Linked DNA regions of Caenorhabditis elegans. The protein of the gene in region 3 interacts with the protein of the main gene of each other region in a pairwise test. Each region holds a gene or a part of one and is shown on either strand. Other genes may lie near its edges.

Region 1 (3,758 bases), on a different chromosome or scaffold from region 3:
AAGTCGTGAACCTAAACGATTTGAAACTAAATTGAATTTAAAATACTTCATCAGTGAGCTTTTTTTTTTTAATCTCTAGTTTCTAAACTCCTGCTGGCGAGCTAGAAAATTCTTGTAAATCTAACTTTTCTATAAATATTTCTTTGATGAGAGCATTTTTCAATGAGTACAGAAATAGATAGAACATACGTAAACCTGTATCAATGCCAACTGAACAAATGTTTATGAGATTTTCTAAAAATGTAGTCGAAGAAGAGACGCTAACAGTTTTTAAATAAACATGTTGTGTTTCGAAAACAACTGGTTTATTCTGGTTATTTTTATGTCACGTCAGATTTTTAAAGCGAGAAGGTTTAAAAAGTTATGCGTTTATTGAAACTGAATTGTTTCGGTATATACAAAAATCAAGAATCAGGAACAATTAAATTACTTTCTGCGGCAGCATTGTCCATTTCCGCATGGAGAGTAGTTAGCTTGGCAAGAGCAGGAGCTCTGTTGTGGGCTCTGCTGGCAGGCAGTAGTTGCTGGTTGAGCAGCTTGGCATGAGTTAGAGCATGATGATTGGCAGGCAGTTTGGCACTGGGCAGCTGGCTGTTGTTGCTGAACACATTGCTGTTGGCAGGATTGTTCGCATTGTGGGGCACATTGGGATGATTGAGCAACAGAAGTCTGGAGAACAATCTGGATGACTTGAGCTGGAGCTTCAGTGGTGGTGTCGTATGGTTGGTACATTGGCTGAGTCTGCTGGGAAGTGCAGGAGTTGTCGCAGGCTGGTTGGCAAGCTGGAGCGCAGTTAGCGTTCTGGTTGGTGTTGGTATTGTATGGGTTGTACATTTGAGTGTTGGTGTTCTGGTTCATGTTCTGGTTGTAGACTTGTTGGGTAGCCTGAGCAGTTTGTTGGCAGATATCAGAGCATTGAGTGTTGCAAGCTGGCTCGCACTGGTTGGATTGTTGCTGTTGCTGGACACATGAAGATTGGCATTGTTGCTGGCACTGTGGTTGGCATTGAGCTTGAGCTTGTTGGATCTCGAGTTGGATTTGGATCACTTGTGGGGCCTGGGTGGTAGTGGATGGGGAATCACAGGCAACATTGCATTGTTGTTGGCATTGTGGCTGACATTGAGCTGCTGGTTGTTGTTGTTGAACACAGGTAGATTGACATTGCTGTTGGCATACTGGTTGGCACTGTTGGTATTGGACAACTGGAGCTTGGGTGGTGGTAGTAGTGGTTGGTGGGTTGTACATTGGAGTGCATTGAGCCTGGCACTGTTGCTGACATTGTGGCTGGCACTGGGACACTGATGGAGAAGCCTGGCATTGCTGTTGGCAGCTCTGTTGGCAAGCTGGGGCGCATTGAGTAGATTGAACCTAAAATTTTTGATTTAATGGTTTGCGAATATGTTAATGAACTGTACCTGAACTTGTTGAGTTTGTTGTGGCTGAGCGCATGAGCAGGATGGGGATTGTTGTTGAACTGGAGCAGATTGGCACGAGCATGACTGAGTCTGTTGAACTTGTTGGCACGAGCATTGGCTCTGCTGTGGCTGAGCACATCCACACTGTCTCTTTTCACGGATTGCACTTCCAGATACCACAAGGGCACATGCAAGGAACGCAATAGAAAGTGAAGTAAAGCGCATTTTAATAATGATTCGAACCGAGGAAATCGGATGGTAATGAAGCTCTGTTCTTCTCTTTTATATGACTTTTCCAGCTGCTCAGTAAACCGGTTCCAGTTCCTAATTTCCTGATCCTCTTCTAAATGTGACTCTCTCTTGCGGCCGCGCGCAAAAGCGTTCGCCTAAAGCTTCAAGTAAGCTATCGAGTCACTAAAAAACTCCGAGCTAATACAGGAATAAATTGTAGTATTGCGCAAGCAAAGAAGAGAGGTCTTGTTTGAGTTTGCTCTATGACCTTGTTCACGCAAGGTTCGCACATGAGAACTAGTTTTCAAGGGCAAACAGCGATAAGCAATCTATTTTTATAAGATTTATCTTTTAATTTTGTTTAAATTTTTGAACCGTTCTAGCTAATCGAAAATCAAAAGAATCAATGAACCACATAGACACGTAGACATGTAAGAACGACAAATTTCGACTCTAATTTAATTTACATGATTTGTCATGCATGACATAAGTTGGTTTTCAGACCCGAACATTTTTTCGATTTGATTGTATAGAGCTACAGTGGTTGCTGCCTCGCTTCTGGGATTTCCTAGCTTCCGGGATCTCTAGAGTTTGAAATTTTAGTTTTGAACTCACTTTGAAACACATTTCAAAGTTTAAAAAATTAGGTATAAAAACATTTAGTTAATAGCCTAACGGATTTTTTAAAAATAAATTGTATCTATGCGAAATGTGAAAGAAACTATGTTTGTATTGTAGCTGAACGCCACCGGCCCAGGTGACTCGAGCCTGACAAGAAAGTTTCAATTTTTCCAGATATTTCTCTCTCATTCATAACATTAACTTTTTCATTTCCTGTTGGCTGCAAATTACAATCATGATTTCCGTGACAACAATCTCTGCAATTATGCTTTTGGTAAGATTTTATTGTAGCTCAAACAAATTGATGTACCTTCAGTTTTCCCTCTGTGGATTTACAATAAATTGGGCAATTGTGATTATAATGATAAAAGTTACAAAGTTGCAAAAACCATTTGCAATTTTAACTGTTGGTCTAGCGATTGCTGATGGAACATTTTCCGCGCTCTACTTATTCTATGCAACTCCAATGGTATTTTTGTAAGTTGAACAAGTTTTTTTTTTCATTCAGCGAGGCCAACAGTTAAAATAAAAATTCCATTCAGCGAGAGCGATATTTTATCAAATTATTCGAGTGTTTGTGGATATGTTCTTATGATTTGCTACAGTGCTTCAACAACTTTTCATTTCATGATATCCCTTAACAGAATTCTAGCAGTGTATAAACCAATGCTTTATCGTATGATGTTTAGTGTTTTGTTCACGTTTTGTATAGTAATGGGAATTTATTCCTACGCACTTACAATCATAACACTATTTTTTCAAATTTGTAGGTTAGTTTAATGTCAACTAAAATTGACGGGAGAGTTGCAGTGGGATGTCAAAATTTTTATGACCAAGAAACAAGAGCATTTCGTTATTCTGGAGGAGACGTTTGTCGTTTTTATGCAACTTATTTAGACTTTTATCTTGTTTTTTCATTGACTATTTCCAGTACTATTTTGGACTTTTTAGCTATCGGAAAAGTGTTAAAAATTAGCTCAAAAACAGAAAAGCACTCAAAAGAACTTAGCTTGTTGAAACAGGTAATATTGATCTTTATAGATTGTTTTAAATAATAATTTCAGTCCATAAGCCAAACTCTATTTGTTCTTGCAATCGTTTGTAGTTTTACTTGGGGTCCGCGTTTTATTCCAGACATTGATTACACCTTTATTTTCTCTTCTATTCTCTGGTCTTCAGTGCATATGTTTGATGGGTAATTGTAAATATTCTAAATACTCAAAAAGTTCTAATTTAGGTTTTTCACATTGATTTTCAATCCAGAAATCCGAAGGAGCTGTTCCAGAAGCGGCCAGCCACTGGCATTCAACGTTGTTAGATCGAAATCGGCTGCATTGGATTAAGAATAGAGGTCTTTGTTAGTGGAATTGTAATGCTCAAGCCAATTGTCATTGTCTAGGGTTTTAGGAACTGAGTTATTTTTATATCATGAATTTTGGTTCAGAACATGTGCTTGTAAAGAAAAAATATGTACATTTTAAATTTATGATT
Region 2 (3,758 bases), on a different chromosome or scaffold from region 3:
ATCTATTCTAATCAAGCATTTGAGAAGTTTTTGGTCAATTTTCTTGGATATCCTCCCCACGTACTTAGGAAAAATCCATTTATCAATAAATTTTTACTATGAAATGAGGAAGAAAACAAAGAAAAATTGAAAAAGAACAAGAACAACAAAATTCAAACAGTAGTAAATGGAATAACAAAAGAACAATTTTTGTAATAACTGAAAAATTTAGAACTTGGTCTTTCTCTTTCTTCCGGAATACTTCGACTCGTGTCTGACGTCGCGTCCCTGCTTAATCTGTCGTTGACGTTTCGCCTCAATCCATGCTTTCGATCCTTTCGCGACTTTCTCATTTTTACGAGAGTTCCACACAAATCTGAAATTATATATGAAAAATCTATAATACGCTTTGATTTTTTGAGTTCAAGATACAAGATTCAAGATTCATTAGTTATTTTTCAAATAAATCCGAATTCTCACCTTCTTCCAGCATTATCAATCTGTGTTCTGCTTTCTTCTCCATCTTCAGTCAATGCTTGTGGAAGTTGAACCACTCCTCCAGTCATCAAAACCAAATAAACTTTCTTCCGTTTGGCGGCTTCAGGAAAATCAACAACAAGTCCTCCATTGAATCCTGCTTTATGAGCTTGACCCATAATCAGATCGCATTGCTCATCGTTTTCCGGGTAGAATTGGAAAACTGCTCGTGATCCACGCCCAAGGCATCCATAGAGTGATTGAAAAAAGAAGAGAAGACGTTTACGTGGATTCTCATCTGAAGCATTTGCATGGCATAACCATTGAATGGCTGAGATACTGAAAATATTTAAGGTTGGGTACATAGAAAACTGTAATAAATTACCTAATTGCACCATCAAAACTTCCAGGCCTGAATGGCATTCCTAGTCCCATATCTTGATGAATGAAATCTCCAGATTCAAGGTCTTCATCTTGACGAGCAATTTCTGTAAAAGAGACGAAACATTTACATTTTTCCAGGTAATCTTACCTAACATTGGTCTGGAAACGTCAACGCCAACAAACATGTGACCAGCATCAAGTATAACTTCAGAACTCATTCCGGTACCGCAACCTGAAGAATTTTTGTTGAAAATCAAGCGTTATTATCCAGATGCCAACTTTTGCTTCAAGAATAGGGTCCGACGAATTTCCCCAAATTCAGAATGAATGTGCGCCTTTAAAGAGTACTGTAGTTGTGAAACCTTTGTCATTGCGGAATTTGCAAAGGTCAAAAAAAATTTTTAGTTTCTTCAAAGTTTGATCTGTTTTTATATTTTTCTTGCAATAAACTTAAAAGAAACGAATGAAAACTTCGGAAAAAAACGCGGAGTTGGAAACTACAGTACTCTTTAAGAAAACTTTCCTTACCAATATCTAGCAAAAATCCAGATTTCCCTTCTGGAAGTGCCAATAGCTCTAGTGCTCTTTCAGCCATTTCATGTTGAATTGCAGTGATGTGGGAGTTTGATGCATATTTTGCTGCTTCGGTTTCATTGTAGTACTGAAAAATTGAAAATAGAGATGGTTTTTGCTGTAAATAATTTTTTATATTCAATTAACAAAATAAACCAGAGTAAAAAAATCAATAATTATCGATGTTGAAATTTTCCGAGACAATTTTAAGGTAGAAGATGAGAATACTCATTATAATGTATATTTTTTGAGAAAAACGAACCAAATCCGGCGGTCCAGTGTGCTCTGGTTTCACTTTGAACGAAGCCATTTTGACTGAAAATCAGAAGTTCAAATTAATATTTTTTCTATTTTTACAATTATTATTAAGAAATATAAGAAATTGTTATAAGACAATTGATATAAAAAGAAAAATACGTTTACTTTAACATAAATTCAATTTATTGGATCGTATGGGATAGAAATCTTGAATAAATAAATAAAAATTCTATTTACATCTACAGTATCGACGAGTGAAGTCTACTAAAAGCATCAAAAACAAAAGTTTCTGGCAAGTCAGGGTTTTTGGAGGAAAATACAAATCATAAGGTACATAAGTCTGAAATTCGTTGATGGGAAAATATCATCACTGATAATTGTTAAAGCTCATGCTGTGTAAAGATTCGGAAACTGAAGTGCTTGATGACGAATGACAATATTGTTGAAGGAAAAGTGAAGGGAACCAGTATTGTGTTGTATCGGATGCCTGTTCATCTGTCCATGCGAGTCCTTCCTTCACAAGATGTTCCAAGGCAGAGCTTGCGCGGGCTTCGTCCCATCTGAAAAATTAACTAATTAAATAACAAACTAAAAAATTAACAACTTTTGGATAATAGACCTACCTCAATTTATCAATAATCAATTCCTTTGTAACGTAAGCAGCATCTTCTGCAAGTTGAAGAACTCTTGAATGATCCATACTCAATTCTCCTGGAACCGACTGAACCAGAAAACGACCACCACCGAGAGGAACCAATTCAAATCCGTTTCCAAGTACTTTCAATTTATCTACGGCACGAAGAATATCATCTCTGAAAACATACATTTTTAATTGATTTCATAAATATTATTACGTTGAAATGGTATCTTTACGAGTTCTTGATCGTGTTCTCATTAATCGATTACGAATTTCTTCAACTGTCATGATGCCTCCATTTATGTGTGTTGTAGAAAGACAAATCTGAGAATAAAAATAATTATTTCACTACATAATAATCAGACATTTTTTACCTCAACAATTTGAATTCCCAGCTCGTAATAAAAGTCTCCGAAACCAAGCGCTTTCGCCCAGAATCCTTTACTCGCTGAAAACAATTAATTTGAAATACTCTGTTAAAATGATGAAAATATACATGCTAACGGATCAACTCCAACACTAGCACACATTTCTTGAAAATGACGACGAAATTGAGAGTTCTTCTTGATTTCATCTCGATGTCGTTGCGCAAACATTTCCAGTCTGTAAAAATTGCAGTTTGACACTAAATGTCCGATTAAAAAAACCAACCCAGCCGAAAGTTGCTCTAACTGTTGCGAGAATTGTACCAGTTGCTCTCCAGCCATTTGATCTCCCTTTGCGGCAAACTGAAAAATAGGAATTTGGGGTTTTTCAGTCAGTTAGCTGACCTTATTGGCAGTTTCCTGCTTTTTCTGAATTGCAGCCACTCCAATTCTTCGTCGTGTCGCCATCCTGGGAAGAAAAACTAATTTAAAATATGCTAAATGCATAAAATGAAATAATGTAGTTGGCAAAAGAACCAATAATTAATTTTTAAAAAATTACAATTTTCTGAAAATAATAACTATTCTTAAATCACAGAATTTCAGAATGTCAGGTACCAGTAAATTGAACTCGAAAATAAAATTACTTAACAAAAAAAGAAACTTAACAATTATTATAAATACAATTTTTGAAAACAATAATAAGGTCTATGGACTTAAAAAAGTGCTAATAAAAACAGAAGATTCAATGTTTAAAGTGGCATGCCACCATTTATCGGGAAAATAGATTACTTCTCCAGATTTCATTTCGCATTCCAATGGAAGTTCGTCGCGGGACAATTTTGGATAGTCATATGTGTACCTGTAACAAGGAATGTTAACTCCAAAGATAAAATAAAAATACAAAAAACTAACCATTCCAATGTTGTTTTATCCGGATTCCAGTTCGGTCTCTGCTCATATGGATACAGGAACCACCGTTTTGATCCATGAATCACTTCAGCGAATCCAGGTCCGTGAAAATGAAATGGTACTCCAGTTCCAGCACCCGCAATACCAAATGAGAGTGCTGCAGTGTGACCGGG
Region 3 (3,758 bases):
TTTAAAACCATATATGTAATGCTATCAATTTTTCCTATAGGTGATAAATTACAGTACCCATACAGCCTAAGAATTCTAAAATCTATTGTAATTTTTCTCATAACTAGGCTACCAGTAGACATCAAAAGTCAAATAAGCGACACACGAGTTGAATAGAAACAAAAAGAGTCTTCTCTCTCTCTCTCTCTTCTAAGAAGGGCATGATATCAATGTCTGGTTAAAACTGGGAAAAGGGGGTCCCTCGGGAAGTTGTGTGGAAGAAGAAAGAAGAAGAAGAAGAGGCTCTTTTTCTTTTTCATACACACACATTTCTCATTTACACTATGTTGAAAAACGAGAAAAAAGTGGATGGGAGGAGAATGAGAAAAGTGTCTCTTTTATTTTTGACCTGACTCTCATATTATTAGACGTTTTGTTTCAGGGGTAGTAAACGCGTTTTGAATGGTTTTCTATCTTTTGGCATTAATTTTTCGCGGTTTTCAAAGAAAGTGTGAGCATGTTCAGTTTTTGCTAGTGGAACAAGCATCGCGACAAAAATGGACAAAATCGTTCAACTATGTAAAAACCTTAATTTAAAGTTGCTTTTAACCCTATACGTTATACCGTTAAAACATACATCTTAAAGGTGGAGTAGTGCCAGTGGGGAAGTTGTTAAAAACCAAAAGTCCCAAAATGATCTAATATCATAATAAAACTTTTCAAAAAATTTTTGAAAATTTTTTATTTATTGTCAAAAAGTGGTGACAATTACTGAGTTTTTGCCACTCATAATTTTGGAAGTCGACCAAAAAAAAATTGTTTTTCTACATTTTTAATTCTGTAATCTTGTTTTAATTATTCGTATTAAAACATTGTAGGGGTCGAAACATGCGGCATACCTTTGGACTTTTTTTCAAAAGCTCTGATTTTTCAAAGTTTTGGCAATATGCCAAAACTTAGGCCGGAAATTATGAAAAATCTAAAATTGTGTTATATTATGATATTTGGTCGTTTTGGATCATAATAAGTGTACTTAGACAATATCCCCACCTTTAAAACGTTATACCTTATTACGAAAAATATACTATGTATAGCCTTAACTTAACGTTACGTTTTAACTTTTTTTAAAAATATTACACGATACTTTATAACCTTTATTTTAAAAACTAACGTTATAATTCGTTACACATGTAAAAACGTTGTTTTAATATGATCGTTCAATTAAAATTTTAACGTTTTTTTAATATATGATACTATAACCTTAACCTTTTAATCTTGTTGATAACGTATAATTTATAACATTTGAAATCAGGCTAAATCTATATTATAGTGTGTAATAAAACGTTGTAACGTATAACAAAGGACATAGCGTTACAGTTAGTTATAGCTTTGATTTTGAAAACGTATCGAAATATTGTAGTGTGAAAGCTCAAATAAATTCTTAAAATTGTACGTGATGACGGTATAACAGCTACCTTATTTAAATACATTTATGACGTCACAACAGTATTAAAATACATGCTTACAGCGGTAACGTTCATTTTCTAAACTTTTTAATTTTCCGACACTACTTGAAAAACATCATTATATTGCTATATCCAACAAAAAAATTGTTAGAATTTGGTATAAAGCTTTAATTTTTTTTTTAGAAACAAACAAAAATACTAACCTCTTCCTCATCCTGATCGACAGGCTCATGTTCCTCCTCAATACAAGAAGACGTACTTGACATGGAGGTCTTGTACCATGATGGGTCCTCTGACATTCTGGAATATAAAAGTTGTTATATACAAAAAGAAAATAATCAAAAATCACAGGGTAAATAGAGGCTAATCGTATATACAAATAGAAGCGGAAAAAGCAATGAAGTTCAGTTTGTTTCTTATGCTTTTTGAAGACTGCGGTTTTTTTTTTAAATTTTGTTATAAAAATTAATATTTTAACTCAAAGAACAATTGAAAACGTTTTAAAGTTCAATTTCAACAGAAATAATAAGAATAACCAGAAAATTCTAATTTATAAGGACAAGTTTTCAATTTTTTAAAGTAACATCGAAAAAAACTGTATAGAAGTAGTAATTAGTATGAAAATTGAAACTTCTTATTGAGAAAAAGTTATAATAGGTCAACTTTTAAATTTAATAATAGTAAAAAAGCCCCGTTTAAAGCGGTTACATTATGAACAAATTAAATTTTAACAAACTCAAATAAAACAAGTTCTATTTAAGTAGTTATCACAGTACTTAAACAATTATAAATTCCAAAGAAATATTGATTTTATAGGAAAATCCTGAACTTTTCCCATACAAAACCCTGCAAAATCCAATAAACAACCTTGAAAAGTTGTTAGTTTAAACGGGGAAAATGTCGTCAAATGGTGTGTTATTCCATTCAATACATACGCATATATCGGGTACGCAGACATTGAATTTGACGACATATTGGTAGGCAGAAGGGTAGGAGAATGGGGAAAAGGGGTCATGTAAAGGAAATTGAATTTGGGATGCGTGGAATTTGGAGTAATTTTGGGGTTTTCTGGGGGGATGGGGAATTGAATTTTTGAATAGTATCGGAGTAATTAGAGATATGAGAGAAGAAAAATAGTAATTGTTTGGAAAATGTGTGTAGTCTTAAATTCAAATTCCATGCAATTGAGTTAGTCAAAAAAAGGAAGTGTATGAATGTTATCATACGTTATAATACATATATGTACATAAATTATATATACCGTACATTCCCTATTAGTATGGCCCCCCGTCAATCGACTTTGTCGGCTCATATTTCAACGGTTTAAAAATATTTTTGATACCTTCAAAAACCAAAGCATAACGATAGATTTGAAAAAAATTGTGTCGTTTGAATTTTGAATTTTTGAAATATGATCAAAGACAACCGAGATATAAACGTACTAAAAAGGGAATATATGGTAAAATTCCATGGTGTGTTATAGAATTCGGTATATATATAATTATATAGGTATATAGATATATAGAATTAAGTACCTATGTATATCGGTTCTAGTTAGCTATTTCTAATTAATAATTATTACAGTCTTGAACGAAAGTTTCAAAACTGTGAGGTATTAGACTTTGTCACTTTTATGCTTTTGTCAAACCAAAGTCAGATGGTTCAATAACCTATTTTCCCAAGACAGTGTATCATATAAGCTTGAAATACAGTCTAAAACATCGATTTCAGAACAAAAAATGGACAAGTCTTGTTTGGTGATTGGCACAAAACACTTCAGCTCAAAAACTCATAAACTGGAAAAAAGTTGATTAGTTTTTTTTTGCAGAATGTAATTTTTGAGCTTGCCGTTGTAGTTTAGAGGCTTATACACATTATTGGGGGATACGAAGCTAACCATTCAGTTTTTAGACATGGTGCATTGATCAACCAACTAAATCAGTTAATTAACTAGAAAAAGACATGTACGTTTTCTGAATAGACACATACATTGAACTACATATGCTTCAAATACGCCTAGCTGAGGAAACAACATGAACCTTTAAACTACAGTTCGTAGTACTTTTTTAAACCTGACCAATCAATCATTGAACATGGTGCATTGGTATATCAACTTTTCAAAAATGCATAACTAGACTAGTATCTATGTGTAATAGAAACGTAGATACTAGTCTATTAGTCTAAAAAATTTCAATTGCTAAGACTTGAGGATTATCAAAAGTTTAGTAGTGGTGTTCCAAAATTAGACAATTCTAGTTTAAAGGTACATACATATTCCTTTACAGTTAGAGTTATTTTACAGTTATTTTGTTT

Evidence for each region.
Region 1: the proteins of zoo-1 (region 3) and abu-15 interact in a two-hybrid assay, tested with the Caenorhabditis elegans proteins (one large-scale study listed by BioGRID).
Region 2: the proteins of zoo-1 (region 3) and C27F2.4 interact in a two-hybrid assay, tested with the Caenorhabditis elegans proteins (one large-scale study listed by BioGRID).

Annotation. Positions count from the first base shown.
Region 1 is NC_003283.11:5,156,505-5,160,262, reverse strand, and holds abu-15 (Activated in Blocked Unfolded protein response), read right to left. Parts: upstream 1,662-3,758; 5' UTR 1,641-1,661; coding exon 1,416-1,640; intron 1,369-1,415; coding exon 427-1,368; 3' UTR 356-426; downstream 1-355. Other genes in the region: srx-39 (G-protein coupled receptors family 1 profile domain-containing protein), read left to right, coding at 2,503-2,541, 2,584-2,744, 2,810-3,033, 3,078-3,289, 3,332-3,462, 3,505-3,610.
Region 2 is NC_003281.10:4,958,574-4,962,331, forward strand, and holds the start of C27F2.4 (Methyltransferase BUD23), read right to left. Parts: upstream 1,732-3,758; 5' UTR 1,724-1,731; coding exon 1,676-1,723; intron 1,502-1,675; coding exon 1,369-1,501; intron 1,073-1,368; coding exon 989-1,072; intron 945-988; coding exon 842-944; intron 796-841; coding exon 460-795; intron 356-459; coding exon 208-355; 3' UTR 1-207. Other genes in the region: vps-22 (Vacuolar-sorting protein SNF8), read right to left, coding at 2,039-2,231, 2,295-2,483, 2,526-2,632, 2,683-2,756, 2,805-2,911, 2,960-3,036, 3,079-3,141; C27F2.9 (JmjC domain-containing protein), read right to left, coding at 3,382-3,535, 3,589-3,758.
Region 3 is NC_003279.8:14,527,518-14,531,275, reverse strand, and holds the start of zoo-1 (Tight junction protein ZO-1), read right to left. Parts: upstream 1,748-3,758; 5' UTR 1,745-1,747; coding exon 1,649-1,744; intron 345-1,648; exon of another isoform or gene 296-344; intron 1-295.